3 linked regions of the Drosophila melanogaster genome follow. Changing the gene in region 3 together with the main gene of any one other region gives a genetic interaction. Each region holds a gene or a part of one and is shown on either strand. Other genes may lie near its edges.

Region 1 (11,024 bases), on a different chromosome or scaffold from region 3:
TGGATTTTCCGGGCAGGAGTGCCGCAGGTGGTGGCGGGTAGAATAGAATGCCCCTATTTCGGTTCCCTGCCCTCTTGTTCTTGCACGTTTTGTTTGCCTTGAATGCTTTCCTTTTTGTCCATTTGAAAGGGAGAATAAAAGGAACGAAAAATAACGAAAATACGAAGAAAAACTTGTGCAAATGAAGCGTTAAATTGACTGAGTGCTGAAGGCGAGGCGAGGTAAAGGAAAACTCGTCCTGCAACTAAAATGGCAAAAAGAAAAGGAAAGGAAACTTGCTGCACTGCACGGGGCTTGCCATTGACGTCTTTAATTGATCGAAACATGGCAACTGAATACAATCACTTGATAGTCTCGGCGAATATCGCGAATATTTACCAAAATTCATTTCATAAATAAACATACATAAGTATTTATTTTGATATCTGTTCTTACATCTGTCAGTTTAATTTGAATTTCCGAAAATTCGATCATATTCAACGCTTTCCATTTCGCAGTTTGAGGGTTTTTTTTTTTGCAATTTTTATGCTCAGTTCTTTGTGTTACCCATTATTTGGGGTTTTTAATGGGGGCACTTGAGTTTGCAGGCATTTCGGTTTAAAATTAGGGTAATTTGCTTATTTTGCGACTTTATTTAAAACATTTTTTCAAATCCATAGTTTGTTATTGTTCCAAACAACTTTGACACTTGCAACTAAAGGGTATGTGCAAAGCGCTTCGATTTTGCGTGAAAGTCTTTCCCTTTCAGACTTGCAGGCCATACTTATATGTATATACAATATATTTTTTATGACTGTCAGTTGTGCCGCGTTTGGCAACAGAATTTGTTTAAACGCAGCGCCGGCAGGGTGAAAAATCAATTTTTTATTGCCCTGTTGCTTCAGTTGGCTGCTGTGTTGCTTTTGTTTAGATTTTAGCCAGATTTATTAGCTTAGCAGGCAGCAAGAGAAGCGCTTCTTTTCTCAGCGTTTTATTACTGCTGTTGGCCCCAGCAAAGTTGACAAGTCCCGCCGATTGCACTGAGAAAAATCGGTAGTTAATATCTGCAAATATAACTAGATGATCAAAAGTTGTTGATTAAGTATAAATGAAAAGCAGCAATATTTATTTGATTTGCACATTTGATTCAGTTGCTCCGAATCTTTTCAGTGGTTGGAACAATAAAAGCAGGCGGTGGTGCTGTGAACTGGGGGCGTGGCCCAGGTGCCCGGTGCAAGAATCTATTTGCCTTTTGATTGCCTTTTAATTACTGAGCAGCAAATAAACATAAACAATGGCGTTTGGCGAAAAATAGAAGATCTGTATTTAGCCGGAGCAAAAAGCATATGCACATATAAAACGAAACGAAAACAGACTCAAAAAACAAAAATATTAATGATTAAGCTCGGTAATTGGAAATAAAAAAAAGAGGCAGAAAAAAAGAGCAACGGCCTTCTTTGGTTTGGCTTTGTTTTTCTCCTTTTCTAACAGTTTTAATCTTTTATCTTTACTTGCGTTTAAAACTCGCCTCGAAGTTGGGAAACTAATTGAACTAAACTAATTGGTGCAATGCGTTTGTAAAACCAAAGTAGCAATGTTTCCACCACCAAAAACAAAGCCGTGCAGATAAATTAATTAATTAAGTAGTGCCGCCTTTGATGGCAAATCCGACGTCTTCTATGGTTTTTTATTAGATCAGACTGCGACGAGCGGATCAGGGATCGGGATTATGTCCATCTCAAGAGACAGGTGGCAAGTAGAACGGTGGGTGGAATGACCATGAACTTCCTCATGGAAGATTTTGTCCCAAATCATTTCCAGACGACGTTTAATTGTCGAATTGACCCAACCCCTCATGGAACCTGACTACTTGTGTTATCTGCAAATCCTCCTCTCCTAGGCTTTCAACTTTCGCCGCCGACCTTTTGGCAGTCTTGTTGCGACTTTCTGCCCGCCCCCAAAAAATTCGCACAGAAGGAGATCAATTTAATTAATGCGAAATGCGAATTGAAACCGAAATTAAATTTCAATGCCACAATGTACTCTCAGATGCGTATTGATGAGCGGCTGGCTCAATTAAGCTAAAAGCTTCGACCAAAAAGGGCTTGCCAAAAACTGAGTGAAAGCCGGCCAAACAATTAGCAACTGCCTTGGTAACTCAACAGACGAGCCCGGTGAGACCTTTTCCGCAGCAGGACACACACACACACACACACCATCCACACGCAGACTGCCCGGCAATTGCACAACAATCGGTTTGAAATTATGGACATGGGATGCTGCCTCCCAGATGCTAACCAGCTCCTTTCCCACACCACTAACACCGAAGGTTGGTTCCATCCATCTTATGCAAACTGCAGTTTTCAACTTGTTACCTGCCACTTGTTGGGCTTTACGGGGGAACAGAACTGTTCGTTGGGTTTTCGCGTAACCGACTTTCCTTGAAATTCGATTTAAACGTACATTGTACATATATCTATGTGTACGGCAGTCGATTTTGCGAGTTGGGAAGCTTGTTGATTGGCAAAGATAGCTTCGCACTGTCCTAGAACTTGGGCTGGAATGTCAGCTGCAGGTGCGCAAGAAACACAAAAAAAAAAAAAATAAATAAATAAGTAAAATAAAATAAACTATACACACTTATGGTTTCATAGTTTTTACACATACGTAATTCTGCTAGCAATCATTTACGAGTCACTAGATGTTAGATTTTCCTGAATGGCAGCGTTCTTCTTTTGAACAATGGAAACCTTGGAATATCGCTCATACGCCATGTTGAACACAACTTGACCTGTTACACTGGGCGTATGAGTTATATTTTTTGCAAACTTTACCCCAATAAGCTGTTTCGCTGTGTATTTCCTGTTCAATTGTAGAAAATAATTAAACAGGCGTAAAGGCTATTTTTACCGGATGCAAAAATAGAAAGCAGCTCTGTGGCTTGAAATCATTCATGGCAACAATTAGTTTTCAATTACAAAATATCGTCCTCGTCTAATTCACTAGCACATTTTACCCAGGCCTTTACGTATGCAAAAGTAAACAAGTTGCCATTGCGAAACACGTGACTGGGCCAGAAAATGGGAAAGGCGAGTATTTAGTGTGAAAGTCGAAAGTCGGTAACGGAAACCAAAAATGTGCTCGGAAAATGTAAAAGTGAGTGCAAAAAACGAGGGCGGAATGTAAATGGGACAGGGATATCTTCATTGTTGTCAAAAGGATATATGGACAAATGGAAAATAACCCTTAAATCTATTATTAAGCACTTCAAAAAAATGTCATTTTCTGGATTGTCCGTGTGGCCACATTTGACAACCAATTTGACAAGTAGATGAGATCCTGTAAGTCACCTATTTCATAAACTCTTAATGTGTGATTAAATTGAAACAGCTTGTTCTTTAATAATTGAATTTTATTCAGTTAAAAACTTATACTTTTGGTGGCAAACGCTTTAGGAAAGCTTTTTTGTTGACTTGGCTAAAAGCTTTTGTGCAATGGCTCTCAAACTGTAGCTAGCTTTCGATTGCAAATGTGGCTAACAGAATCGTGTACTCACCACTCGACGACTGTGGTGAGTTCGGTAAATTAAAAATATTTTTTTTTTTTTTTTGTTTTTTGGTTTTTCTCACCGTTGATAACCTTTATAGGTTACGGACTTAGGTTGATAATTCTAATTGTTTCAGCACTTGCTCCAATTTTGATGTGATAACATTTGACTCCCTAAATTGAATGAAATGCTCGAGAGTGCACACATGTCTAAATATTAAATGATTTGAGCAGTTGAAAAAACAAGTGCTACGAAAGTCGAACAGATGTCATTGCTTTTCAATTGAAGAAAATATGTTCAAGAATCGCACTGCGACCAATAAAACATTGAAATGAATTTGTGCACAATTTTACTAAAATTTATAATGTTATCTTATCACTAATTTATAAACTTAACACCTAGGCAAAGCTCAATATTAAGCACGTATTTGTGTATTTGGTGTCTATCTAGCTAATTTCTCCAAGTGTATACAGACCATTGCCATTATTTTCAATAGCGTATTCAACAATTTTCTGCGTGTATTTTTAGTACCTTTTCTTATCTGCGAACGGAAGCTGTGGCCACTTGTGAGCGTTCACCATTTAAATATTAAATATATTTTACATTAGCAAAGGCGAAAAAGGGGAGGAACAGGGAAACGAACCTGAGGAATGGGCCAATTATTCCAGGAGATGGGGCCCTAAAAAATCGCAACGTGTCCATTGGTCCTCCATGTGGGGCGTCGGCATCCAAGTCCGGTAATTCACCCTCACGCATGCGTCATTTTCGGATGTCATTGGGTCAGGCGCCAATGGGAAGCCGCCTTTTTGGTGGTGTTGACAGGGGGGGGGGGGGTGGTGGCTAAATCGGCTGAAGGTCACGGATTGTGGCCGGTCCTATGGCCAGTTGACAAACCGACTTAACCGCCAAAGCCGACGAGCCCGAAATGCTAATATCACATGGATGTCCGTCCTGCCAAACTTGTATTGTGTTGAATATTTAAAATAGTGCTTTGCATCAATTTTAGACCGATGACTGCACATTTAAGATGATTTGCTCACATGGTTGTATGTATGTTTTAGGTGCGCCAAGAATTAATTGTCCATAAACACTAATATTCGTAGGAACAGCGAGTAAAGGCTATAAAGTTCGTGTTTCAAATACGTTTTCACTGGTGTTTGGCTTTCCTACGCGAATTGCATCAGCATTTTATTGGACTCTCCTTTTTTTTTGAGTGTCAAATTCAAAGAACTTCAATAAAAAAATGTGCGAGGAGAGCGCCGCTTTTCGTGGGAGTGAGTGGGATAATTTGCAAACCGGCTGCCGCAGCAACAACGAAAGGTGAAAAGAGAGCAAGGAGCAACGGTTTTCACTTGTTTATCAGTTGACCCAGAGAGCGAGAGCCACTTGGGCGGGTGTTGAGTAAAAAAAAATGGGGGAGGGGGGGCTTACTATCCAACTAAAGTGATAGTTACTTTTTTTTTTCTATCGTTACGGCCTTAAATGCTGCTTTAGCCGACTGGCTAAATCGCGACTACGCTCCGCAAATAAGGATGGACAGGCAGAGCGAGAGGAGAGAGAGCAGGCGCAGCTAACTCTGCGTAAGCGGACACCCACGCATGTGAGCGAGAGAGGGATAGAGGGAGAGGGTAAGGGAGAGAGAGAGTGCGGTGCATCGACGCAACAGGCTTGCAATGGCCATTAAGCGCCGTTAAACAATAACAAGAGCACGCAAATCGCTTCGGCTCCGTCGCGCTTTCGGCCTTCGTGCGTCTTCGGGCGACGCCGGCAGAGCAGAGGCAGCGATGGGAATCGCAGCAACGGTTCTTAGACATTAGGTTGCGCGCCATCGTTCCAGGCGGTCGCACATTCCACGGTGTGCTGTCCCTTTGTTTTCTGTGTGACTCTGACTCTCTTGTGGGGAGCGTTTGTCTTTTTTTTTTTTTGAGTGCTCTCACATCCTCGAAGTGCCGAAATTTTGAAAATCCCCGACAAGATATCCTGGTGATATCGGTTCAACGTTTAAACAAAAACCCAAGCCCTGCTCCTTTTTTTTCATTCATTAACTAGTGTGATCCCAAAAAGGAACCCATACTCGCAACGAATACGAATAGTGTCCATCGCGTGTGAAACGAAACTAAAGAATAAGGAATGAAACAAGAAAATAAAGCGAAAAGGCGGAAAAGCGAACAGAAAGAGGGGAAACAAATATCGGCTCGTCCAGGAGCGAACAGATGATCAAAGGGGATCATTCGGATTTTTCGAAGAAACTTCTGAAACATGACGGTTTCTCTGGTTTTTAATTCGGATTTGGTTTCACCAAAGCCAAAAAATTTTGCTGATGTCAAATCACCGATTTGCTTCCCCTTTTTCCGTGCGCGGAGAAAAAAATCCCCAGAAACATAATATCAGGATGCTCTCTATCTCTGTCTCTGTCTAACGCTTAATTGTTGCTCAATTGCGAATTAATGTCTGGGGCTTTTTTTCTCCGTGCAGTGCCATAGCCGTAACCACAACCTGCCAGCCGTTTAAAGCCAAACTAAACAAAACGAACCGAAACTGCCTTCACAAAGTACCTAAGCCAAACCTAAATAGCTGCCAAAAGAAACCAAAACCGCCGTTACCCGGAAAAGAGATGATGGGATCGCCGGGATCCCAAGCGTCCGCGATCGCGACCTCGGTCGGAATCAGAAGCGGGCGGAGAGGTCAAGCGGGAGGATCGTTGCTCCTGCGCCTCCTTGCCGTGACCTTCGTCCTCGCCGCCTGCCACGCACCGCTGCTGACCAATGCCAAGGTGAGTTCGACCCTCTTGTTGGGATATGTAGTATTATAATTATTACATTGCTATTTGAGGCCCAGGAATGCAGTTAACAATTTGATTAGTTCTATTCGGTGACATGATCCTAACAGCCGCTTACCATTCACATGACCATTGCCCATCAGCTGATGCACATCCCATTCGAGATCGGTAACCCAATGATCTCTTATTCCGGATGACACAACTCTGGGTTCCGCGACGAACTTGAACTATTTAGCATGACACACATACGAGTATTGTTTTTTTTTCCCAATAGGCGGGACAGACAGACACAAAACGAGCGCCACCAGTGATTAGCATAAAAATGTATTTATTGTAAGTGGTTTGGAAAATAGTTTTCCTCCACTCGCCATCAAATTAGGAAGTTGAGCCGGGCTTCGAGGCTTCAGGGTTTCGGAGCTCGGTTACGGACAATGTTAAGGACCGGATTTCGAGTTGAGCAGAGGCCAAAAAAATAGATCACCAAGTCCATTGGGCCGGGGTCATCATCGCAGGTTATCACTCTCTCGAAAAAACAGACGCTGAATTAATTTCTTTTCACAAATTCGGATCGAGTTCAGATGCTGGCTTTTGAATTTGATGCGATTGTGTTCGGATGGCTTTGCCAATTATTATGAGAAGTCGATTGTTTCAGTTCCAAATTCTATCTTTGTGCCTGAAGGAGGGAGGGGTCGCTGTGTGTGTGTGTGCGAGTGTGTGTGTGTATGTTTTCCACCATAATGAGCTTTGATGATAGCGCGTTATCAGCGTGTTAATGACATGTTGCCCACAGACATTTGCTTGCAATGAAATAATTTCTTTAATTAACATTTAAAATCACTGAACGTTTGTGAATGTTTCAATGGCTTTTGTGAACGGACGGCAGTACCTGCTGGACAATTCTGGTACTCTGCTTGATTTTGTCGAGCATGTCGTTTCCATTCGATTTGTTTTGCTGCAGCGCTCACACTTTTTATCACATCGGAAGTTGCGTAAATGAGGCCAAATTCGAACACATGTACACATACATACATACGGGGGCTATGTCGCCTGCTCAGGGCTTATCGGTGGGACTGGGACTGGGAGTGGGACGGGAATGGGAGCCACACTTTGAAGAAGGAACCACTGCAAATCGGACTGCAAACGAGGTCACTGCTGCAGCACGATAGCTCCATCCTCCGCTTTTGCCCATCCGGCGTATGCGTATTGCCGGTCATCGGACATTGCGCATACGATCAGGTGGCACGGTGCCCCTTGGGGCATTCGATATCGTTTATCTTGGGTTTTATTCGTTTTTAAATTGATAGCTGAACTTGACTGAAAAGCACATATGCTAGCTATCAATAATCAGTTTAAACACCATACGTTATGTCACCATTCCTTTCTTTTTGGCAAACTGTGCAACTCGCCACTGATTCCATAGTGTTTCTTGAAAGTCTGAAGCGCAAAGTACAACTCACTGCATATGGCAACTTCTGATGCTTCAAACTGATATTCGCCTGGCAAGCGAATTGTGCTGCTCTGTTTACATCGACAGATGGGTCCTCATTCGATGGCCCTTTTCCGGCTTTCCAAGGGTATCCGATCCCTCACCCCCCACCCTTCTTGGCCCTTGGCTTGTATATCGCTCATCACATCACGCCCCGTTGTGTGCCCCGATATCTGTCAAACAAACTGTCAAAATATTTGCATCATCAACAACACAACTGCAAAGCGAATAAGAAAAAAAAAAAAAAAAAAATTAAAGCACAAAACGGCAGCCAACAGATGAGAAAATATCATTTCGCAGCTTTTTTGACTCGCCCGTATCGTTTTGGTTTCTTTTTCAGCTTTTCGGATTATGTTTTCTTTGTTTTTCATTGGTCTGAAGATGCGTTCGTTGGCACATTCCCTTCGGTTTTCAGTTCTCCTTGTTTTTCGGTTTTCTGGTTTTCTTGTTTCCGTGGCTTCACGGTTTCTGTTTGTTTGTGCAACATATGGACACAAGATGTTGTACCCCCGATCACACATGTGACCGGCTGCTTGGCTGCCTGGCTGTTTGTGTATCTGCCTCATTCTGCTGGCCTTATTGAATCGCTGGGAAATGGCCTTTAAGTTGAAAAGGCGTGGATCAGTTGATTTCAATATAAGCTAATACCTTCAATCAAGTTTCACTTGCCGAATAAAATGTTTTTTTTTTTTTTTTTTTGCAAGTAAAATATGTAACATTTGTATATAGCCCAACCTCTTTTCCTGTGTACCGAAAACATTCGCACAGCGATCACATGCAGTTTCACGGGAAGCGTCATGCGAGCATTTGTTTAAATATTACGCTGGGGCTGTCTAATACACCAACCCACCAACCCTACACCCCCCCTCACCCACTTGAGCTCAAGTTCAGACATTGACCAAGGGGCGGGGACTCGATAAGGAGGCGGGGCCGCGGGGGCAGAGACAACTGGCACACTTAAAACTGTTTATGCGAGATGTGCGAGGTGCGAGGTGCGAGTGAAGTGTCTGGCTCGCTTTTCCCTTCCTATTTGTGGAACTGTATATGAAACGCTGATTGGCGATATCGCCGAGTGTTGGCTTTGTCAAATTGGCATTGCCAGATGCCAGGCTTCCATTGCCATTAGTCACTGGGGCAGCCGCATTTGACCTGGTCGGGAGGGATCCTTAGATGCCCAGACCGGGCGATTCATTTCTGCGGATCCGGAATCTATTTTCCCTGGCTGACGTATGCATTTCTGTAAGGAAAGAACTGGTGGAATCTGGGAGTCAATGGGGAGAGGCAAGGCTATGAGGCAAGCATTTAAAAATAGATGGCGACAAGATACCAGAGACGAAAGTTTTCGATTCGAGGCGGAGCATTAAAGTTGGGAACTCGGAGTGGCTAAATCGGCCAATACCCTATAATGCAACGCGACAAAATGATGCATCGCAACACGTAGATAAGCCGAATTTTCTTGTCTTGTGAAATGCAATTAGAACGTGTTTTTTATTGCACATGTGGAATTGATTACTAATTGAAAATCAACACCTATTCTGTTGTGATACACCTGATACACCAACTGATGTTCTTTAGAGTTCATTCCACCCTCGAATATTTCGCCACAAAAATGCGAACAGGGATCCGCTGAGGTATTTGCCTCATAGACTAAACATTGAAAAATAACTCCAAAGTGTAGGGTAAACCAATTTCTCAGCCTGACTTTTCATTTCTCACTTCGCAGTCCCCAACCAACTATTGTAATTTAATATTTGCATGGCGCGTCTGTGGGGCACAAGTATACTACATATATATATATATATATATATGTATATATACATAATATATGTGAGCTGCCCGCATATGAGCAATTATTGTTTGACTATTGCATTGCGTAAATTTTGAAAATAGAAAAAAGCAGCGAGAAAATACAAAAAATCATCCCAGCACCCATTAACAGCATTTCTAGGATGGGGAAATTCCTAAACTGTCGCAATTTGCCTTCTGAGTTATTGCAAAATGCAGGAGGCCGTGTGGGTGGACATACATATATAGCTATCTAGATATATATATATATATATATATCGTGTCATCATCCCAATCCCACTGAACACAAGACATACGAAAAGTAAAGACACATTGTTCGCACACATGATGCCATAAAATGTGTTTGAAAACTGCATTTAAATTTTCCATTTAAGCAAAAAAAAAAAAAAAAAGAAGCGATTATAGAGCTTAGAATATTGTCGCCAAGAATCGAAGCTGATGATCCCATCGCGAAACTTAGTATGCAAGGCAATCGGCGTATTTTTTTTTTTTTTTTTTTTTTGGGTAGGTCTCATTCGAAATTCAAGGCATCGCAGGGCTCATCGATAAAGGCGATTTAAGCCATAGAGATTCTAAGATTGTTCGGCTTTGATTTAGATAACACGTCAAGCGAAATGATTGTACAAATAGATAGAAATAGGGGAAAGGATGCAAATGATTTTGAAATACAGTACAAGAAAAGATATTTGAAATAAACTGATCACGTTCTTTTATATCTTTAGCAAAATGTTAAATGTATTTAGACTCTATTTAAAACTCTAATGATCGGATCTTCGAGTTCCATTAATCGTATGTCATTTGAAAGTCTCTGATTGATAGTCAAAATCAGATACACATTTTCGAAGATTATACAAAACGGGTTTAAATCTATGGGGCGAATTAATGGGTGAAACTTTTTTGAATGCCGAGCCGAATTCAGATGAATGAGTTTAATTGGCCGAAAATGTTAGGGGCGATTTTTCAATTGGCGGAATTGACTGCCAATTACAGATCGATCTTTGCGTCCATCCTAATCGTTAATCATAATCAGTGCGCCGGAAATTGGAAAAATGAAACATGAAAAATGAAAATGAATTGAAACATGAAAATATGAAAATATCGACAATGCGGGTGACATCAGCTTCTGTTCGGCGGCAATCGCTTCCATGAATCTTAAACGCTTTTTTATTTCGGGGGAAATTAAAAAATGCCTCACAGCGATCGAGAGATATATCCATATACAATATGCATATGTATATACGCGTATCCATGTGGCGTCTGCCCAATTTTGATGCCAATGGAGTTGCATCATCCTCATCGTCATGATTCGGAGCATGACGAAGTCAAGGGAAAACGAAGATAAATAAAAAAGGAGGCTCCCATTTCAATGGAAATTCACATTTCAATTTGTATTAATTGCTGCTCGGGCCCAAATGGCGAAATAAATT
Region 2 (11,064 bases), on a different chromosome or scaffold from region 3:
AGACGTTCTGTATATACACATATATATCTGCATATATCTGCAGTCTATGGTCCTGGGTATCTGATGACAATCCTCGGGTGCTAACTTTTCGCCTTTCCGCCGAACTGTAAACGATACTACCTTAAACTCTGGCCACCAATTCGACGGATTGCAATTATTCAGGGAATGCAAAGCGCAGCGAAATGACTTGGAAAGGGATGGATACACTTGGAGGAAAGAGAAGGAGTCACTTGGAGGAAAGAGAAGGAGTCACTTGGAGGAAAGAGATGGAGGGCTAAGGAAAGAGAGAGGGAGAGGCGTCTGGTAATCTGGGTCTCAAAGTTGGTGGCCTGCTACGCCCGGATGTGGCATACAAAAAAAAAAAAAAACAAAAAACAAGCATAATTATTATAATTATCAGAATGTCACATATAAATCACAGCTGATAAGACTCTGGACACAGCTTCAAGCCGGGAGGGAGAGCGGAATTAATTAATACATTTAAATTTAGCATTAAATTGTATTTCATGCACATGTGTATTGTTTCTCGAGTTTCGTGTTTCAGGCTGCGGACAAAGGGGTTATCTGTTGCAAACGGCAAGACATCAATGTGTGTTCTTTGTTGCCAAGGAGGATACCTAAGACTTTACTTTGCTGGATATAGAATGCTTAGCAATTGCTATCTTATAGATACACTTCTCAAGCTCGAGATCAAGATTCAGCTGCATCCAAAGACGAGGATCCTTTTGTGCGTCACAGTTGACCCAATTTTCTCTGTCAGACAACACGCGCCATCAATCAACCGCATTTTCATTTTCACATTTATATGCCCCATGAAATGGAGTGGGAACTTTTTGCACCATCAACAATAGCAACAACAAATCTGTTGTTAAATGTGCATCATAAACGTTTGGAACACTGCACACATGCAACAATGAAAGGCATTCAAATGAAGGTATTAGACGCGCAAGTACTAAGTAAAATGTAAAATATAAGTTATTCTTTTATTGGGTAAACATACATAAGTACATGCTATAGTCACAAAACTGACTTCAAATAGTTGGCTGACATCCTACAAATGCATTTTATTGACCACTCAACCTAGTTGCACATTACAAAAGTGCCAGATTCATGCCAGATTCAGTTGGCATAAAAACGCCCGATTTTGGGGCACAGCTACAGGGTAGCAGTAAAAAAAAAAAAAAACGAATATGGGCCAACATATGAGCAGCGTGTGATTGACATGAAAAGGCAACCCCCGCACTTACTCACACCAACATTCATGTGGAGCATAGCATAGTAATGGATGCACATCTGGACGGGCGCACTTGCTGCATGACATCATTTTGCTCCGGCTTGACATTAAGTCAACATGTGGAGAAGATGCAAAAGAATCTGCACTGCCACTGGCACATGGAGAACACCCACGCACTCCGTAACCGTGCGTCTGGAGCAAAACCCAGTTGGATCTGCTTGAGTGACCGGTTACGGCATCGTGGCGCATAATTGTTTGGACACAAGCCTGACAGATGATAACTAATTGCCGTGCACTCAAATTAACATTGAAATTGATGGACAGCGGGCTGTCACAACTTAATATTCGCAACGATCGTCAATAAGGTGGCGATAAGGAAGCGCCAAGTGATTGAATCGCCTATCAAAGTATGTACATACATTCGTCAGATTGGGAAACTATATTGTTACCTTTTGAAAATGCACTTAAAATCATAAGTCACATCATGCCAGCAACCATTATCGTTCGAATTTTGCATCAAAGGAGCTGCCAGTTAGATTTCACCCAGTTATAAATCGCTTGAAATCATGAAGCCATTGGTTAACCATCTCAATGGCCTGCAAATAATTCAGACAATCAAAGCACTAGAAAGTTAACCAAGCAAATTAAGCAGAATTTATTTTTAGCCATGACAGTAGATGTCTGCCGTCTGAAATGGAATCTCAGCAATGGAATCGCATCATACATTGTACACATATGCATATGTACATGCCATATAGTGTCTAAATATATGTATATATGTATAGAATTTCAAATGCTCAGATGAATATCAATTTCATGAGCCCGTACGGACTGATAAGGCGGCAAAAAAAAAAGGAGAAGAGCGAGCTGCAGTTATGAGACAGATGACTGATAACCCAATTTCACTAGCTTCGCTCATAAATAATCGTTTCAATTCACGAAATTCATTACAAAGGCGGCTACTAAGTGGCCCCTGCCCATATCACTCATACGACATGTTGTCCATATCGCACACACACACACACACACACATACACGTACATATAGAGAGCGAGACTCCGCATAATTTCCGCATTCAGTTGCAGATAAATAAATAATTGAGTCAAATTGAAATGCAACTCGCCAAACAATTCAGCTCAAGCACGCAAATAAACTTCCACAAGGAGTCCAACAATGAGATGATGATCATTGTTGTCCGAGCTCCGAGCTGCTGCCCCCGCTCTTCGTTTTCTTGGGCGGTCTTCAGTTGGATCGAAATCCCCTCCACCAGCTGGACACCCATCACCAGTTGGCCCCGCTCAGTCTGGCCGGCGGTGGTCAGTGATTTATGCCAGCAGCATCGGGTCACTTTGGACCAGGATCGGGAATAAACAAAACCCAAGGAGAACGAAACTGAAGACTGAAAGGGAAGGTGCACGGAAAGAAATGGTTGAGTGGCAATAATCAAACCCGCTAGATCATAATTTTATAATTTGATAGAAATTACTCCTCTTCTTAAATAACCAATTCAATATAATACAATATTTTTACAAGCTTTTTATAAGAAAATTTCGGAATTCATGGTAAATTTCGAAGGTTTTAGATTATGTATTTATTTGATATTGTTTTGTATGTAGTTAAGATTTTTCTAAGTGCACCATCGAAGTTTCTAAGACTTTGGACGGCAGCAGCAGCCGCCGCAGAAGCAACAAAACAACAAACAGCCAAGAACTTTCAATTCCAATTTGAAATGGTGCAGAACGTCAAAAGATTGCCGACCCCCTCACCCCCTGAAGTCGCCATACCCCGGCAACCCTTCTTCATTTCAATTCCAGTGATTCTCCAAGAGAGCCCCTCACCGATCACTTGAGCTGCTGCTAATTGTCGGAATCGAACTGCGCACACACACACAAGCGCACTGGCGAAAGAGCACACTTATTCACAGGCAATAACGGCATTTCCATATATGTATTTATAGCTGGGCAAGTGCAGGAGAAAAGAGAAAGGGTGCATGGGGTAGTGGTGCAGTGGTAAAGTGGGGAGAGCGACTGATAAAGACCATTTATCAAAATTCATTCATTGAAAGCCTCAGCTGCATCTGCAATCGATGAGTTCATCTCTCTCTGTCTCTTCTGCTCTTCGATTGAAGCGGCTCTTAAGCGATCGGCTCTCTTTTCGCGGAACGGAAAAGGAAATCATTTGTTCGGCTAATGAAGCGCCAAACTGGTTGCAAAACCCATTGCGAGAACAGTTTTAGAGCCATTGCCTGAGAGCTGTTAACTGTTTAATAAGTATATTCAAATGATGCTGGAATAAATACCCTTAAAAACATTAAGTATGAATATATCTTACTCATAGCAGATAATTCCCTTTATAAATTTCTTTATAGATTGTAAATAATGGCATACATACAATGTGTGTTTCTAATCAAAACTAATTCCAGCGAAAAATGTGAATCCCCTTCTATTCAGATTAGCTTAATGCACCCAGGATATAATTAATTATATCGTTTTCAAATACTGTTGCAAGTGAAACAACTTTTTTTGTAAGCCTTCGCTTATCGTGAGGGTAACACGAGCAACGGTAGCTAAGCGAAGTCAAGTTTTTCATCGTTTTGCGGTTAGTCCTCCATTGGCAACCCACAAGACCTGGAGACCTGGCAGCTCTCACTCGGAATCCGGGAGTTAGGGTCCCAAGCCCATGGCATTGACCACGTAACCGAGTGCGAAAAGAGCTGTGGATCGGATTACCAAAGTCGTCAGACGAGCTGCACACTTATGATGGCAAACACGTGAGCGATGGGGCCAGATTTCCAGATCCCAACGAATTGAGTGCACGAATTGTGCATTGAGTTAACTGCTCAACTGGTATGAAAACTAAACTCTGATCTCTGGTAAAGGCAATAAAGTCAAGCCAAGCCGATAGCCTCTGCGACTGCTGGCGACACTTGTTTCAATTCTAAAGTGTATTTATTCTAAATTCGAGTCTAGAAAGCCATGTCGCAATCAGCGGAACATGCTATCAATGGCGTCAATGCCGCCAACATAGCAATAGGTCTAATTAAATGTGTGTAGATCAGTCGCAGCCTGATAAGACCAGCCGAATGCCATCAAAAAGTAGGTGCCGCCGGCATGTGCTCCATTTTTCATCCAGCATTACGAAATCTCTGTGATCCCTAGCCATTTAAATATTAATACTCAATTTAATTTGGTACATACACAAGGTACACTGAATTGGGCAACTCGGTGTTAAAAAGTAGTGCATAGTTTTTGGGGCAACATTGAGTATTGCGTTTGCCTCGCACTTTTGTGTCAAATCATTTTTGTGTTTGCTTAAAAAATCATTCATAAATAAATGAAATATTCGCAACCTCAATGGTTAATGTGTCTTATTTTGAATAATAATCTATTCAATTGGGGTAATAACTAAGAACCTGCGCATTCTTTGTTTTTCATACTCATTCCCGTTTCATTTTACAAATGATTATATGCCAATTAAGCGACTAATCTGGCGGTTATTAAATATAATTCTAATTGCCAGCCGGAAACGTTCAATGGCGAACCACAATTGGTATGCCAAAAAAGCAATGTCCTCCAAATTGAAAGATTAGGGGGGTTATCAATGGGCGTTATCGCCAACCTCTTCACCTACAAAATTATGTTGCCAAAATTATTTAATGACATAATCGATCCCAAGCTGGACTTGGACTTCATTGAACCCCCGGAATCGGGAACGAGCTGAAAGGAATTATCTGTCGAAGCCAAAGAGTTGCAACTACGCGATGTTTTCATGCCGGAAGTGTGAATAAATCAGAGAGTGCAGTGCTGCAGAATAACAATAACAATAGCAGCGGTGATTAAGAGTCGAGCTCCGAGCTGACCCAATTTTACATAGTTGTTTATGGTTGATACTATGTAAATGCGAAATCAATGACTACGGATACAGTTTGGAGAGCATTGGTGGACATGATAATTTTCTTTCAAAGTTAATTAAGAATATTATTGTTATAAGCTTCAAGTAACTTAAAAATGCTGCGTTAATGAAATAGGCATATACAGTTTGACAAGCACTTTGGTTAGTATTTAGCAATCTCATAAAATTCAAACGGTTATGGTCTGAGAAGCACTTTAAATAGTAAGAGCCTTATTTTAAATATCATTTCCTAAGTTGTTTTAAGACATAAAAAAAAGTTGAAAAAAGTTATTGCACTACAATCTATACATTTCTCAATCCAAGTCTTTAAAGAGCTGTCAATTTTTGGATATTATACTAAGCATTTCGATTGCACTTACCTTTCCATCCGCCAAGGTAACGGAAACCAGGCTGCCCAACAGATAAACGACGCCCAGAAGACCCGAGAGATGCCTTAGATCTCTGGGTAACATCCTCGCTGGGTCCTTTGGTCCTATCCGCAACGTATTTATGTCGCACTCTATCTAATTGCCTCTGTCTCTCCCCGCTTAAAACACACACGAAACTGCCAACGAAATAAGCATAAAATTAGAAATTGAAGAATTTTCGATTCTTATAAAATGCCCTCAAATAAAACCGACATTAGCAAATCAAGTATTAAAGAGTTGACGATCGGAAAAGTGTGGGAAACTAACAGAAAACGCTGATTTGCTGCTGCTGCGATCGTCGGGCACAGCACTCTCCCCACATGTGGAGATCGTCTAGCGTTCGAAGTATTACTAAACACGAGTCCCGCTAAAGAAATTCGAATTCTTCGCCCGCACACTCGGCACGCTCGGCTCCACTCGTAAAAGTTCGGCCGTTCGCGATCGGCTCTCGGCCCACCAATACTATCGCAAGTGGAAGTTGCAGCAGTGTGAGTGTAGTAGGCACAGGCCAGGGACAGGCCCGGATGGATGTTTTGGATGGAGATTTGGATGGAGGTTTGGATGTAGATGTGACTCCGGGCTCTGGTTATGGTTCGGAATTTAGCACTTTGACGCCTTGAAACGAGGAAATGAGGAGCAGAGCCCTCTAACCAAATCAAAGCGGCCCGATTCTAAGCATACAAATTCTATTTCCCATTTTGGTACCGTATCCCTGAAGGGGTATGATCAATCAGATTCTCACTTTGTTCTTTTTATTAGGCACGTCTCTTGGGAAAATACAAATTATTAAATAATTTATTAATTAATGTTACTATTACTAACTATTACTAACAGGCACATACCATTTATACATAATAACCATCCGCATATAACTTAAATGATAGTTCCAACTAGCGACACACGATATTTCTTGCGGGGTAAAAGCTATTCTAATACTCAATCCCAGCTATCCTAGTGATTTCAATACAATTAGATGCTAGTTTGTTTGTCGCGCTTCTCGTGATTAGGTTAAGGCTTTTTCATTTAGTACTTACATATATGGCATATGTGAGGCTGATAAGACGGATATGGCTGAGTATTTCCTGTTAGAACGAACTACTGATCAACTGAAAACCGAACATGAGTTTTAAGCTCCAATAAGTCCGACGCAGAAAAGCCAAATGGGAACCTTTCGAAATTCGAGCCTGATTTTGGGTTTCGGGGCCACAGTGTTTTGAAATAAGTCTTGATAGGGCGGCTATAATCAAGGCCTCGTTCTAGTTGGGAAAGCTCTTTTGTTCTAGGGTACGTGCAAGTCGGATATGGCCCAGTGGCCTGAATATATGTCTTCTCAGGAAACTGCTGTGATTAGGATATTAAATGATGTCGCACTTCGGCAACTTAAAATCTTATTAATTTATGTTTAGAGCGGTATTAGTAAGTATTATGTCGTACTTACTATCAAAATGAATGGATCTCAATAATTATTATTAATTAAATAACAATAATTATTTTAAGTATGTATAAAACTTGGCACTTAAAATGAAATTTCATTTAAGATACATTTAGTTTTAATAAAGCGTAGATAGATACAAAAAAAATCGAAAAAAGACCATTCTTTGAAACAATAATTGCATCGACATACTAAAATCAATCAAACTAAAATATTTTGTTTTAGAAAAGAATGGAATGATTTGAATAATCAGTTATATATAGCAAATAAAAATATACCAAGTAAAGCTTAAAAAGAGATTTAATCTTCAAAACCTTTGTCAAATTAATTATATCAGTTTTGAAAGCTAGAGAATATTTTTAAAACTTAGAAAAGGACTATAATCCTATTAAAAGTAAAGTATATGCCAATAAAATGTTTACACATGTTTTTGTTATCCTTTAAGTTTTAGATATTTTTATCATACTTATTGTAAGTACACACAAAATTTTGATGAGGTTATAATTAGAACATTGGCCTGATAGCGAAGCCTTCGGAATTTCCCTTGCCCGAGCACCGAAAAAAGTCCAAAAAGCAGGAGCCGCAGGGGCGGACCAAAACGGAAGCCATGTGCCCGATCTCAGGGCGGGGGCTATCAGCTAATTTTGAGATGGGAGCTGGTAGCTGCGATCTGGAAGCTGGGATCTGGGAGCCGGAGAGCTGGTTGAAGGTGCTCCCGGGGAGGTGCTCCGGCGGAACGAAGCTGATGTGCTATTGAGCAACTTAAGTCGCATGTGGCATATCAACAGCAGCGACGGACTTATCGCCAAGTTTCATTCATTCCGCAGCGACTATGTTAACTTGTGGGATTAGTGTTGCTACATACGACGACCCGTCGCCCATCCGTTCTATATGCCATGGTGCCACCACCCACCTCCCACCAGCCACCTCGCAGCCATCGCAACCGATCCGATGCCCATCCAATCCCCGTCGAATCACACGGATAGTGTACATGAGCCGTAGACCCGATCGTCGAGATCGTGCCAAGCCGAACGATCGACGAGTGAAGATCGGGGCATCGGCGTTTGGCTTTTGGATCGCTCGAACTTATACTATAATTAGTCGTGTTCCGTCTCCCCGAGTAAGTAGTAGTCTGGTCTCGGTCCGGAGCTGATCTGGCCAGCTGGTTTTAGTCTTTAGTCAGCGCTGTGGAGTGGTGATCGGTTCGGATCGGATCGCTCGGTTGTGAATGTGTGTTTCCATTAGGGTCCCGTCCCGTCCCGTCCAACCGTCCCTTAAATAGGATTTGATTCCTGTAAGGAACTGAGCTTTTACAACAACAAAATAATATAAACATAAAATATCTTAATTAAATCAGGAAGAACGCGTACTATTAATTGAAAATATCCAGCAAGTCGTTGTGCGAGTCTCGTACCAGTTCCAGTGCCTCTCAAACTGTCGCGTGTATATGCTTGGAAATGAAATGAAACGAAATACAAGAATTAAATCGTTGAAAAAAAATAAGCCAGCTCGATTTTCCCACAAATATTAAATAAAATAATATTCCTCTAAGAATATTTCCAATTTATTTTGCAACTGTTGCGAAATTAAAGTGCCCAATTCTCTGGCTCATCTTTCCAGGCCCAGCGACGGCAACATATAAACTTCAAATTCGACGAGGACAGAGCAAATAATTGTGCAGGCTTAAGTGCATAGGGCATCATGTTGCCCTTCTGGAAGCGGTAAGAAAAATGACAAAAGTTAGAAAAATAATACAAATGGTTGCAAAAATTTAAGTTAATCAAAGAAAGCAATTGTTAATTATTAAAAACCATGACAATAATACTTACTTAACAACTAATAATACTCTATTTAAAAATTTAAAATTTTTTTGAAATTTTTAATGATTAAAACCCAGTTATGGCCTAAAAAAGTATTGCCAATTTTTTTCTTTCTAATCCATTCAGAAAGAGCAAATATTAGTTTTTAAATTAATATTTTAGATATCAGCAATACAAAAATACATAATTTAAAACATCACATTTGTTCAATTTTTTTTTAATTTTTCGAAGCGCGATCTCTTAAAAACTTGTAAGCTCTCTCTTAAGCGCCTTTAGCAAACTCTCTTGAATTGACGGCTTAAGAGAGAGCTGCCAATCGAAGAGAGCTATGTCCAATTAAATAGCTAGACTGATAAGACGAAGCACAGTTCCTAACCCTCCTGATCTTCGTCGACTTCTTTGCAGGCTGCTATACGCCGCTGTGATCGCGGGAGCGTTAGTCGGTGCCGACGCTGTAAGATAACCGTAGCCCATGCCATCCATCTGGACATTGAATAATATACTCCTTTTCCCCGCAGCAATTTTGGAAGACGGCTGGTACGGCCGGTTCGATTCAGGACTCCGTGAAACACTACAATCGAAATGAACCCAAGTTCCCAATCGACGACAGTTACGACATTGTAGACTCTGCCGGCGTGGCGCGCGGCGATCTGCCGCCCAAGAATTGTACGGCCGGATATGCGGGCTGTGTGCCCAAGTGCATAGCGGAGAAGGGCAACCGTGGTCTGCCGGGCCCTCTTGGACCCACGGGATTGAAGGGCGAAATGGGTTTCCCTGGCATGGAGGGACCATCTGGTGACAAGGGTCAGAAGGGTGATCCCGGCCCATACGGACAGCGTGGTGATAAGGGTGAGCGCGGATCGCCTGGTCTTCATGGTCAGGCTGGTGTACCCGGAGTCCAGGGACCCGCCGGCAATCCCGGAGCCCCTGGTATCAACGGTAAAGACGGTTGCGACGGACAGGATGGTATTCCTGGCTTGGAGGGTCTATCCGGAATGCCCGGACCTCGCGGATATGCCGGCCAGCTTGGCAGCAAGGGCGAGAAGGGTGAACCGGCAAAGGAGAACGGTGATTACGCGAAGGGCGAGAAGGGTGAGCCCGGTTGGAGGGGGACTGCCGGTTTGGCTGGACCACAAGGATTTCCTGGAGAAAAGGGCGAGCGCGGCGACAGTGGACCTTACGGAGCCAAAGGACCCCGGGGTGAGCACGGTCTGAAGGGAGAGAAGGGTGCCTCCTGCTACGGACCCATGAAGCCTGGTGCACCGGGTATCAAGGGCGAGAAGGGTGAGCCCGCGTCCTCGTTTCCCGTCAAACCGACCCACACGGTGATGGGACCTCGCGGCGATATGGGACAGAAGGGAGAGCCTGGCCTAGTTGGCCGCAAGGGTGAGCCCGGACCTGAAGGCGACACTGGACTCGATGGACAGAAGGGCGAGAAGGGTCTGCCCGGCGGCCCAGGCGATCGCGTAAGTCGAGTTCATACTTAAGGCTCCAAATCGAAGTGGAAGTTGAAACCTCTATAATGAAATATATACGTACAGGGTCGCCAAGGTAACTTTGGACCCCCAGGATCTACAGGACAAAAGGGAGATCGTGGCGAGCCGGGCCTTAATGGTCTGCCCGGTAATCCCGGACAGAAGGGTGAGCCAGGACGTGCTGGAGCGACAGGTAAGCCTGGTCTGCTCGGTCCTCCGGGACCGCCAGGCGGTGGCCGTGGAACACCAGGACCCCCGGGACCCAAAGGACCCCGCGGCTATGTTGGCGCACCTGGACCCCAGGGATTAAACGGAGTTGATGGACTACCGGGTCCTCAGGGATACAATGGACAAAAGGGAGGTGCTGGTCTGCCCGGTCGCCCCGGCAACGAGGGACCTCCTGGCAAAAAGGGAGAAAAGGGAACCGCAGGACTTAATGGACCAAAGGGATCCATCGGACCCATTGGACACCCAGGACCACCGGGACCAGAGGGACAGAAGGGTGACGCCGGTTTGCCCGGTTATGGCATTCAAGGATCTAAGGGAGATGCTGGCATACCTGGGTAAGTGCAATGATTCATTTAATAGTCCTAGCACTCAGTCGAGTCCCACTGTGGAGCCGAGTCCTGTTCTTACTTTCCTTCATTAAAGATCTTATTTAATTCGAATTAATTTTCGTTCGTCCTAGTTATCCCGGACTAAAGGGTAGCAAGGGAGAGCGCGGCTTCAAGGGCAATGCTGGTGCTCCCGGTGACTCCAAGCTGGGTCGTCCTGGAACTCCCGG
Region 3 (11,005 bases):
TACACGCTCCAACTCCAAAATGGCCACAAACGCGATAAGTCGGCTCACAACAAATGGCAGCAAATAAATAAAAAATCATTAAGATAGGCTCGCGGAACGGCCAGATAAGTCGACCAACTTTTGGGCCGACCCGTTCAACTGGGGATGCGGACTGGGGATGGGGACCAGAAACTAAACACCAAATAAAGCATTCGAATGGACCCCGAAGACAATCAAGCCGAGATGAAACCAGCTTGTGCTCTATGGGCGGTTCTGGCCTTTTGATGTAAGCCCACCACCATCAGTCAGTTAAACAAATTTGTATTTCCCAAAATATCCAAATAATTTGTTGAAAAATTCATTCACGACCTGCGCGCAGCAGAGACACTCGCACACACAAGATACAAAATCGATAGAAAAATCACCAGATTCAACAGATTCACCAGAATGTGAAGAAAAATTGGACAGGTAATTATTAGAGGTGTTTTCGCCTTGAGTGGATTAGCTCGGCTGGCGGGAATGGACACTGGCCCCCAATTATGCTAATACCACGCCGAAAAAGGCCGCTAAAATCCATATTTAAATTATTAACATAGAAACCGCGGCTGGGCCAACGCCGAATTCGGTGTCCAAAAGCAACTCCTAGCCAGATTGAACATGTTTAACATTAATCTTGACTGATAAATTAAAAAGGAATTAATTAAGATGAGCAATCACTTGTCAGGCCCGGAATGCTTTGATCATATTTTCCTACACACTTCCTATGGCTCAGATGTAATTAATTAGCGTGGTAAACAATACAAATATGATTACTACTTATAAGTCAATGATTAATTTATAGGCAAGGTGGCTTGTAGTCGTTAACTTTTATGTTTAAGGGATCTACAACATTTTTGAAAAGTGTTCAAATGCTTAGAAATCAGAATAGAGTATGTCAGTGTCGGCTCTCTTGCTCGAAATAATTCCCTAGAGTTTTATAAGTATTTTTTTCATCATTTTGACAGTTTTCGTTTGCTAGAAAATGAGCAAAATTGCTTTTATGGGGAACGTGGGTGGTTTCCCGAGGGGAGGGGTGGGGGATGCGGGCCTTCGCAGAAGTGTTTGCATTCAGATCACGTATATATCTTTTGGCGAAAAAAATTGTATTAAATTCAAAATAACCAGCTTAAAGCATAAGCACAGCACCCCAAAGTCACGCCCCGGCATCACACCTAAAATTATTTGCTCGTTTTCTGGCCTTTTTACTGCCTGTGGTTTATTTCTATTTTGTTCTCTGACGGCATTAATATTCCGACAAATTATTTGTCACCCCATCCACCATGCAAAGGGCTGCAAGGACACGCCCTACTCATTTGCATGAGAATCGGTATACAGAATGATGGTTATGTGTGGCATTAATCACGGGTAGACGAGCTGAATATTTTACGATCATTAATCGTCGTTGGTCACAATTCGATTTTCTTCGGGGTCTTCGGGGGTTATCCATCTAGTTTTGGGTGGATGGATGGTCATATACTCGTCGCATATTCGACAGCACCCACATATTGAGTGGTACTTTTTAAGCAACTGACAAATTGAGCATTTCAGTCATCTTTTCTCTACTTTTCTTATATTTTTCTGGTGTCACTGAACTCTTCAAATTTTCATCGTTATACCCTTGCTAAGGGTATATTGCTTTCAGTCAGGAATTTGCAACGCAGTAAAGAAGACAATCTACAGCCTTTCGCTTTTGATCAGAAACGGACAACCTTATCATATCATATAAAATGTCTAGCAAATCAATGAAAAACTAATCCCAGCTTAGTTGTTTTTTAATCATAATGCGTTCTAATTCGGTACACACCAAATTTGTGATTTGACATTCGATTTTAATTTGTTCAAACTCTGCAAATAATTACTGCAAGGGTGTATAAGTTTCGGTTTTCCGAAACTAGCATATTTTTTTGTTTTTATTTAAAGTAGACGAAATAAATTGAAAAAAGAGAACAGAGAAACACGCGCAAAGCGACGACGTACGACTCAAAAAAAAAAACTAAATAAATAAATAAAAAAAAAAGACAAAACGCGAAACAGAAACAAAAAGCAAGAAAATAAATATTCAAATTCTACACATTGTGAAAATTTTATTGTCGAAATACAAATTGGACGGCGCAGCCTTACTTACATGCATGTATTTCCCGACTTCTCAGATTCTAGGCGCCACGCGAAAAACTAGAAAATCTATTTTCGAAACATTCACAACAGCGAGTGAATCGAGTCGCACCGCACTGAATATGTCACAATTACTCATGTGCTTCTAAAATGCCAAGCGATGTGCATACGAGTTTATACATACAACCCAAATAGACAGTACATCCTATTCCCATTCGATCCCGAGGGGGTTACGTTGCCACACATGGCCCGTTATCAGTGGCAGTTGGGCCTACAGACTTCACCACTCGCGCACCCAACATTATTATGCATTATTATGTATTCATGGACCGGGGGATCGTGTCGTTTTTCACATTTTACATTGCCCGCCAGGCGGACGTTGATAAAATTCTAATGGCCTGTAAGCCAGCTAGCCAGTTAGCCAGTTAGCCAGCTTGCCAGTTAGCCAGTAAGCCGTGATTTAGGCATGTTTCCATTCACGTTGTTGTCACGTCCCGAAACAAACGCTTTTCACACCTTGTTGAGCTCTGTAAATCGTAGTTATGTGCTGTTTCCACCCAGGTCGTGTGTAACTGCAATACCATTTCCTTAAACCGAACTTGAAAATGTTTATCGAAATTTGCATCTTAATTCGTCGTCTGCCTCGCACTAATGGGCAAAAAAAAGTTCGTACCCAATCCTGTCTGGAATATGGAATATCAGTGACATCCAGACAGGGGCGTCTTTGTTCTTTATCTCTATTAGATATCTTTTATGTTCTTATCTCCTGTGGGACATGTGCTCCCGATGCTGCAGAATCTTTCGCTTTCCCGAAAATTGTTGCTGCAGAGCTAGAGCAAGATAGTGGCAACCTGGCGGAAACACACGTCCGACATACATCAGCAGACCCTGTGTGACGCAAATGGATGGATTATGAGTCAGCTAAAGAAGTGGGAGCTGCAAACCCAAACCAAAAGGAATAGTTTGATGACCAGATTGCTTGATATATGAATGCACTTCGTGGAGGCGCTCTGGCGCATTTGGATCGAAGTGCTTCGAACACGTTGCCATCTTCAGTCTGTTTGAAGCTGTCGAACGGTGAGGTTGCCGAGAATCCTATCGTGGATCCAACTTGGGATCCAGATTCACATTTCCGCTGCCGCGTGCGCGGTGCTTCGTGGCCAGTGAGGCGTGTGAATTCAAATGCGGTGGTCAACGCTTTGGTTGTCGCTTTCTTTGTGTCGCCAGTGGTATTTAATCAAAATCGAATAGAGAGCCAGAGTGGCGGCAAAAGCAACAAAACAAAAAAAAAAATGAAATGAAATGAAATGAAACGAAATAAAACAATGCGGCATACAAAACGAGACGAGCACACCAAAATATCGGCAAATCAACCGAAATTATAAAAGAAAGGAAAGAACTCGACACATTGATGTGGAATCAATGCAATAAATTAACTTAAATTTGGTTTTCGCTTGGCCAGCCGATTTCGATAAAGTAGAAAAAAAAGAGAGAGAGAGACAGAGACGAATACAAACACAAATAAATGAAAAATCGTTAAAATCCCGGTCTGCGAATTCGATCAGCCCACGAAATTCGATGCGGCGGACTAGGCCTCCAAAAATATTTATACTTATGTAGAGCTCGGATTTAGGACCTACCTGTCTGCCCAGCAGCGGACCCTTGCTGATGAAGTCCTTCTTGGCCGAGTAGAGCTCCGGCGGTGGTCCTTTCAGCGAATACCGCAGGCCGGACTCCCCAAGGTCGTCCGTCGTCCCACGCAGACAGCGCTCAAGGGCACGCTCATCCTCGTCGTCATCGGAGGCGGTGGCTGAGCAGGCGGATGATACGCAAGAGGAGGAGCACGCGAAGGAGGTACGATCCCGAGCACCGGGAGATTCGCAGACAGTGGTACTATTCGTGCCAGTGCTGTGACCAGAAGTTGTGGACCGCAGTGTGGTGCTGGGATACGCGAAGGCGGGCAGGTCCGACAGCAGGCGATGGCACTCGACCTCCTGGCCGCCGGCGGGCGATTTAAGTGAACCGGCATCCGGCATGGACATGGCGATGACCAGATAAGATAGCGATCTCCAATCTCAGAAATCCGAAATCCCAAATGGCACGTGCAAAAATGCGCGCGAAAGAGCAACAAAATCCACAGTATGCGTATATACGGCTATACGTATATCTTGTAGATATATGTATCTTTACACTTATGTTGGCTCTATGGCTCTTTGGCTCTTTGGCTTTTTGCTTATTTTGTTAATTGAAATGCGACAGTCTCGTTCCGTTGCCGTGGGCACCGCACCCGCCAAAAAATGCGAAAATACGAACGAACAGAAAGGCAAAGACTACGGCTCGTGGGTATTAAAACGACTCACACTTATGGCTGCGATTAGCTAGATAAACTACTTAGTACTGGAGCCATTGTACGATCTCATGATGAATCTTTTTGCCGAATCACAGAATTTATTCGCAGTTGCGGTTGGGTTTTGGCCAATGTTAAGCTTGAACTTCACACATCGCGCCGAATGCATTCACTTTCGAGCTGCACCATTAACTTGGCCACCGTTGGCATTCTGAGTTGCTGGCTTTCTTTTCGCTTTCGGCCAGCGGCTATTTTTGCAAACTTTTCGGTGGCGAAGGTTGTCCCACAACTGAGCACCATGTCAGAGTTCACAAGAACACGCCGATCGTTTGGCATCGGCATCGCTATCGCCATCTGGCCGACATGGCTGGTCAGGATACGGAATACACTGGCGCACTGGGATGAATACGTATTCAAATTCGAATTAGAAATCGCAACTGGATTAATATTACAAATGGAACTTTAGCAATTGTCTGATACTACCGCGCGCGCGCAAATAAATGAAACGGACGAGAACGAGCCGATGGACCAGACCAATGCTGCGAACCAGAGAATTTGTATCTGTATCTGGCGATGTTTCGTTTCGGCTCGCTTGAGTTCCCGCTGCGGACTGAACACTGCTCGCCGAACAGCAGTTGGTAGCGGACGTTCCGCCGTACCGCCAAGCAATCTGAGATCGCGAACATATATCGCTCCGAAAGCTAAAAGCGGTTCTCTCGCAGCTATATGCTGTACAACATACATACATACATATGTACATATGTATGTACATACTCGTATGTAGGCACGAGTATAGGGATATGGGTTTGCTGAATGGGCTTAGGATTTCGATTCCGAAGGAGTGTTTTAGAGAGATTAGAAATACGTCAGAATCATATCAGTACGCAGAACAGCCGGCTTCTCTGCGCAGAGAGCGCTGTGGCGAAAAGAGAGCCGAGCGCGGCTTAAAAGAGCACTCGAACGCTCTCTTAAGTGCGCCTCTGCTTACTCAATATTTTTGCACATGTGAGGATTAAGTGTGTGGACATAATTATCATCGGATAAGATAAGGTGTGTTAGCATAGTAACAATCTTTGCATCTAGAGTATCTGCCTTTTCGGATGAAATAATATAAATATTAAAAAAAAAAAAAATAGGCTTATGCTGCATGCTTTATTCAGTAATAGTTTTTAAAAGTAATCAAAATTTGTAAACATGTTCACACTTGTGTGATACCAACCAATTTGAGTAAGTATGTACTTGAGTAAATAATAAAACTCTTTTTACTTATGACTTATTTTACTAGCCTATGCATTACTAATCGCACCGAGCAGTACTAAAAACTTTGAATACGAATTCTTTTGAAATAGAGGATAAGACCCTGGGCATTACCAGTGGTGCACTTCCGGAAGAAGTCATTTCGGAAGAAAAAAAGGAAGTTGATGATCACAGAGAATGGTACAATGATGACTAGCTCATCAGTATCAAAAAAAATTCTTTTTTTGACGTAAATAAACTGACACGACAGCCTTTACTCAGAAATGCGACAAATATAAAGATATATCTAAATAATCTACACAAGCTGAACAAACATATCGTAATAGTTTAGATAGGCAAGTGTAACTGATTTGTCTCAAATTGGTATCATTATAAACAATACTTTATACTTTATACTTTATATTGTCTCATTTGGGCATAGAGTGTGCGACATCTGCCGGATCCCAGCCCATCCAATGTGGGTCAAGATCAATCTACTGATCGCGTCAGTGAATAAAAATAGTAGCCATTCGCTCCATTATTTGAACGCCGAGAACTCTTCCACATAAATGTCTTCTGTGCCAAATTACCATATGTAGCAATTGACCCTATTGTATACTAAATATTTTCTTTAATCAAACGCAGCAATAAGAATTAATCAATTAAAAGACCAGAGCTCGTTTGCCAAATTAAAGTATAGTTGGAAATTAAAAATCCATTTCGCCGCCGTGGAGGTCGGCGAAAATTTAAAAATATTCCAAAATACGATGATGCATATTCATATACTACGGATGTTGCGAGAATGGTGGACTAATGAAAAACATCTCAAAAGATTCCAGGAAGAGCGTTCTCCATGCAACCATGCAATCGGCAACAAAACGCTTGTTTTGTAATCAACAACAAACAGCCGGCATCCAAATGATGCCAACATAAAACAGCAGCCATAACAGAACATCTTACAAAATAGCCCTAAAAGTCTGGAGGGGGCAAGTGAGTTCCCCAAGAAGGCTGTTTGTATTACACCGAACTAATCATCATGCCCTGTAAGCAATGTTTACACAGCCACTAAACAAAATAAACGACTCCTAGCTGGAGTCTCTCCCCAAGTCACTAATAAATTGCTCAGTCTAGCAAATCGCATACTGATCTGTAGGAAAGCATACGTTCTAAATTAGGAAATATTGCTCAAAGAGGCGCCGCTGGTTTTCAGATGCTAATGATCGAGCCACTGGAGACCGCTGACCACAATGTATCTATCTGTCTATCCATTTTTGTATCTATGCTATCTGCTCCGATCGCATTGTATCATCCTAATAATTAACGCATTTAGATCATAAGGCGGGCAGATAGCCATAAACTTTTGTTTAGCTGTTGATGCTTATATGGCAACAGCATAGATGGACTGGCCCCAACTTGGATTTGGATAGAGAATCACTTTCAGGTGGATACCCAATCCAGACCCCTTGTCCTGGCATTTGTGCAACTTCGATCTGCACGCTGGCGGCCTTCGTGTGGATCGAAGATCAATAAGCGAGAGGCTGTGAAGAGCCCTAGACTACGGATCACTATCGAATTCGAAGTCTTCAGATGTTCGATGTCAGACTGACTGTCTGTTTATCCGTCCGTGCGTCCAACACGCGCAGGCCTCTTAGTCAATTGCGTCTGTCCGTATGTCTGTCCGTATGTATGTATAATAATGGGTGAGCATGTCTAATGCGTGAGCTGGTTCGGCATTTCTATATGTTTATGCTCTGCTCTGATAGTTCCATTCAGTCGCTTTTTTTTTGCGCTCACCCACACACTTGATTGATAAATATTGATCCTGATTGAATGATCGAAAGCTTGCGAAAACCCGAAACAGCCATTCCAGCGATCCGTTCGGACCCGAGATCCAATCCAATCGGCAGGCCTGCGGAATTATTGAGAGCTCAGGTTTTGAAGTTCCTCTGACAGCTGCTCAATCAAATCGAATCAAATATTTGGGCTAACTAAACAAAAACCTTTCTTAAAGAGCCCCCAATTCCATGCCCACATCGATGATGTCTAAATTCTGGAAATTCGCAAAAATCAAACTCAATTACTGCCGCTGTCAATCAGCGGCAGGAATCGAATTGTGAATCGCCGGCATCCAAATCGGAATAGGAATAGAGAGGCATGCGTAAGAGGCATTTGTTGTACTCGTACTCCCATAGCTAGGTGGCGTATCTCAAAGATACATTTCACTTAACTGTATGGCATATATCATCCATTCAACTGCGGCACAGAGCAGCCACTACCATGACAGCACACGCAGATGGCGATGCTGATGCCGATCTAGATGGGAATCGGGGGTGATATGGATGGGGACGGGAATGGGGATCGCTGGGAGCCGGCCGACGTGCGTTGACCCTGAGACTTGCCCACACCCACCCACGCAACGCGAATAACATAAACTAATAGGGGTTTATATATATATATATATATATATAGATGCACAGAGGGAAACATGCTTTCCGAATCAAGACAAGACACTATTTTCGATTCCAGAGTCAGAGCCCTGACCAATTTGGATTTGTTTAAAAGAACAGAAAGTAGTCACCATGTGGTAATAATTTAAATATACTAAACAAAATGCGAATATATACACCCAAATTCCCTTTGCCCTTCAGATACATTTTCGATCAGTTCAGTACAGTTGAAATTGAATTTCTAAAGCAGCCATTACTTTTGTCAGTGTATCAGACTGTTCCTTGAGTTTAAGAACTGCAAATCATATCCTTGCAAAAATATTTATGGGTATCATGTGGAAAAGACTTGAAGTGAGTTGAAATTAAAAACATTTTAAAAGTAGCAGAAGTACAATGGCTAGCACCGCTCTATCGCCATAAAAGATGAGTGCTCGCTGAAAGGCATAGGATCATAAAAATTGACTAGAATTCAAGTACATACGCATGCATAACTCAATTTCCCGCTATCCATCCGGACTCTTTGAACTGTCTGCTAGTCTGTTAGTTCGGGGAAAGATATCCGCCATCTGTAGATGATTTCGACCCTAATCCGTCCCTGAACCGATCCAGAAATTCGCATTTCGCAAATCGGTTCAACACACGACGCTCGACTTTCAGTAATGCAACTCCTCGAGTGGCTAATGCACTTGCAAAAGACTTCAATTGAAAATTTTCATTTACACCAGGCTGGCCGGTCATTCAATGGATATGAATCGGTTTTATATAAGACTCCAAAATGAATATTTCTTCTGAATAATGCCTCCGTTCATTGATTCCAAAAACGTAATTGAATTCACAATGGCTGTGTGTCTGTGTGTGTCAGTTTGCCTGCAGGCGGCATATTCTTCAGTATTAGAAGTGGAAAAATTGTCGAAATCAAAATCGCACAGCATAATGCTACGAGTATAATGCCATATAGCTAAACTCGAGCCCAAATTATGTCGATTCTGCGCTGCATCAGCACTATCTCCGATTGCAGCAGCGAATTGAGCGGCTTTTAGCTTTGGATTTGGCATATGGCCTGATGTCCAATTTCTGATGGCTTTACTTTTGCTTTTGCCTTTGCTTTTGGGCTGACTGACTAAGCCTAAGCTTTTGTTTTGGCAATCAAAAGGAGCTTATTTCATGGAACTGCACATGCCACACACATTACACTGCTCGAAATGCCAGATTAAGCGGGAAAACTATATACATAGTTGGAATGTAATGAAACATCATCGCCAACTTTGGGTACACAGTGCTTATTAATGGGTAATTTCCGATAAGTAATGCATTTAATCTTAATTTATTTTTATAAACAATACTTGTTTTTTTTTTTTTTAACTACTGAAAATACTTTAATAATTTGTCAGTTAGTTTTTGAATAAAATACAGTTGCAAATAATATTTACCACAGCCATCGTTTTATTAATGAATAGGTAATGAACAGGTAAGTGGAATTTTCTTCCAGTGTAAGCACTTGATCCGACTCTGATTGCAACACCAATCGGCTGTCCCAGCTGTGCCACCACTCAGCTCCACAGCTGCACTGACGACGATCCAATCCGATGGGTGCGAAGATCATCTGCGTGGCTCGTGGAAGATGCCAGGTGAGCCGGGAGTTCGCCTTGAACCATTGACATTACTTGAGGCGCATTTTATTTACGCCCAGCATGATTAACTGATTAACTGACTGACTGACTAATTGACTAACTAACTGACTAACTGACTGACTGCCTGGCTGTTGGCCAGTTGGCTACTTGGCTACTTGTCCACTGGCCATTGCATAATGCATCATGCTAATAGGGAGCGGCACCGGGGGATCGAAGATCGAAGGCGCGACTTCCTGTAGACTTCGGTAGCGCCGGCAATTGTTACAATGATTTACGACCATGCCACGTTGGCAGCTATAAATTGCTAAATGGCCATTACAGCATTAATTACACGACCGACCAAGAGTTGTGAGTCGAATCGAAATTGAAATTGACCTTTTGCCCCGCCCAGACTGCCGGTCTGCAGAATGAGTTATTATCTTGTAATTGTCACTTACCAGCGGTGTGCAGATATGTTTCTTCGATCTCGATCTGGATCGGAGTATGCAAATTGGAAGCCAGAACCACTCGATGTCCATGTAACCAGCGATGTCGGTTGGAATTAAATTACATTGCTGTCGACATGACAAAGTGTGCGAATACTTAACTAACGAAACAAAGGAAATCCACCAACTGGTTACAATACATAACGAAAGGAATCATTAATGTGATTTATGAACATGTTGCCTCATTGAATCAGAGAAAAATAGAAATTATCATCGCAGTTTTATCTAAACTATTATTAAATGCAGACAGGCCATAAACCATCCGTTTGTTGAGTGTCTCTGGGGAATTCCTATTACTCAACCTTAAGAATCATCAAAATATAGAGGAAATTGTTTACAATCATTTCGTTTCCGATCTTGCAAGTCATAAACATCAAATTAATACAATAATGCATTTAACAAAAATCGTATGAAATAAATCGAACAATTTTTGCTATATAATCCCAATATATCGATTGTTATAGAAAATATCCCTTTTTTTTCGGTCCAAGCTGTCATATTTTTTGACCACTTTCAACACTTAGTTTGTGGCCAAGTCAGTTTTGGCAGGTGGAAAATAGTTGGCACTCGACTTGGCTGGAAACACACCCCGTTGTGAGTCGGCAACCACCACCATGAGCGCCAGCGAAGGCATCAGTCTCCCGGGCAACGAGGAAACCACTCCGCCGCATGAAAAACATAAACAAAAGGCCAAGAAGGCCAAAAAGAAGTCCCGGAGTGCCAAAGAAA

What was found.
Region 1: of AdamTS-A (region 3) and trol, changing one suppresses a phenotype caused by changing the other (phenotypic suppression), as found in Drosophila melanogaster (one study listed by BioGRID).
Region 2: of AdamTS-A (region 3) and vkg, changing one suppresses a phenotype caused by changing the other (phenotypic suppression), as found in Drosophila melanogaster (one study listed by BioGRID).

The regions. Positions count from the first base shown.
Region 1 is NC_004354.4:2,539,740-2,550,763, reverse strand, and holds the start of trol (terribly reduced optic lobes), read left to right. Parts: upstream 1-5,336; 5' UTR 5,337-5,381; intron 5,382-5,855; exon of another isoform or gene 5,856-6,001; 5' UTR 6,002-6,140; coding exon 6,141-6,299; intron 6,300-11,024.
Region 2 is NT_033779.5:5,021,532-5,032,595, forward strand, and holds the start of vkg (viking), read right to left. Parts: upstream 6,661-11,064; 5' UTR 6,588-6,660; intron 5,915-6,587; exon of another isoform or gene 5,767-5,914; intron 5,691-5,766; 5' UTR 5,599-5,690; coding exon 5,506-5,598; intron 1-5,505. Other genes in the region: Col4a1 (collagen type IV alpha 1), read left to right, coding at 8,687-8,706, 9,211-9,259, 9,324-10,271, 10,347-10,843, 10,969-11,064.
Region 3 is NT_033777.3:15,471,117-15,482,121, forward strand, and holds the start of AdamTS-A (ADAM metallopeptidase with thrombospondin type 1 motif A), read right to left. Parts: upstream 5,078-11,005; 5' UTR 4,173-5,077; coding exon 3,771-4,172; intron 1,533-3,770; exon of another isoform or gene 1,022-1,532; intron 1-1,021. Other genes in the region: B9d1, read left to right, coding at 10,891-11,005.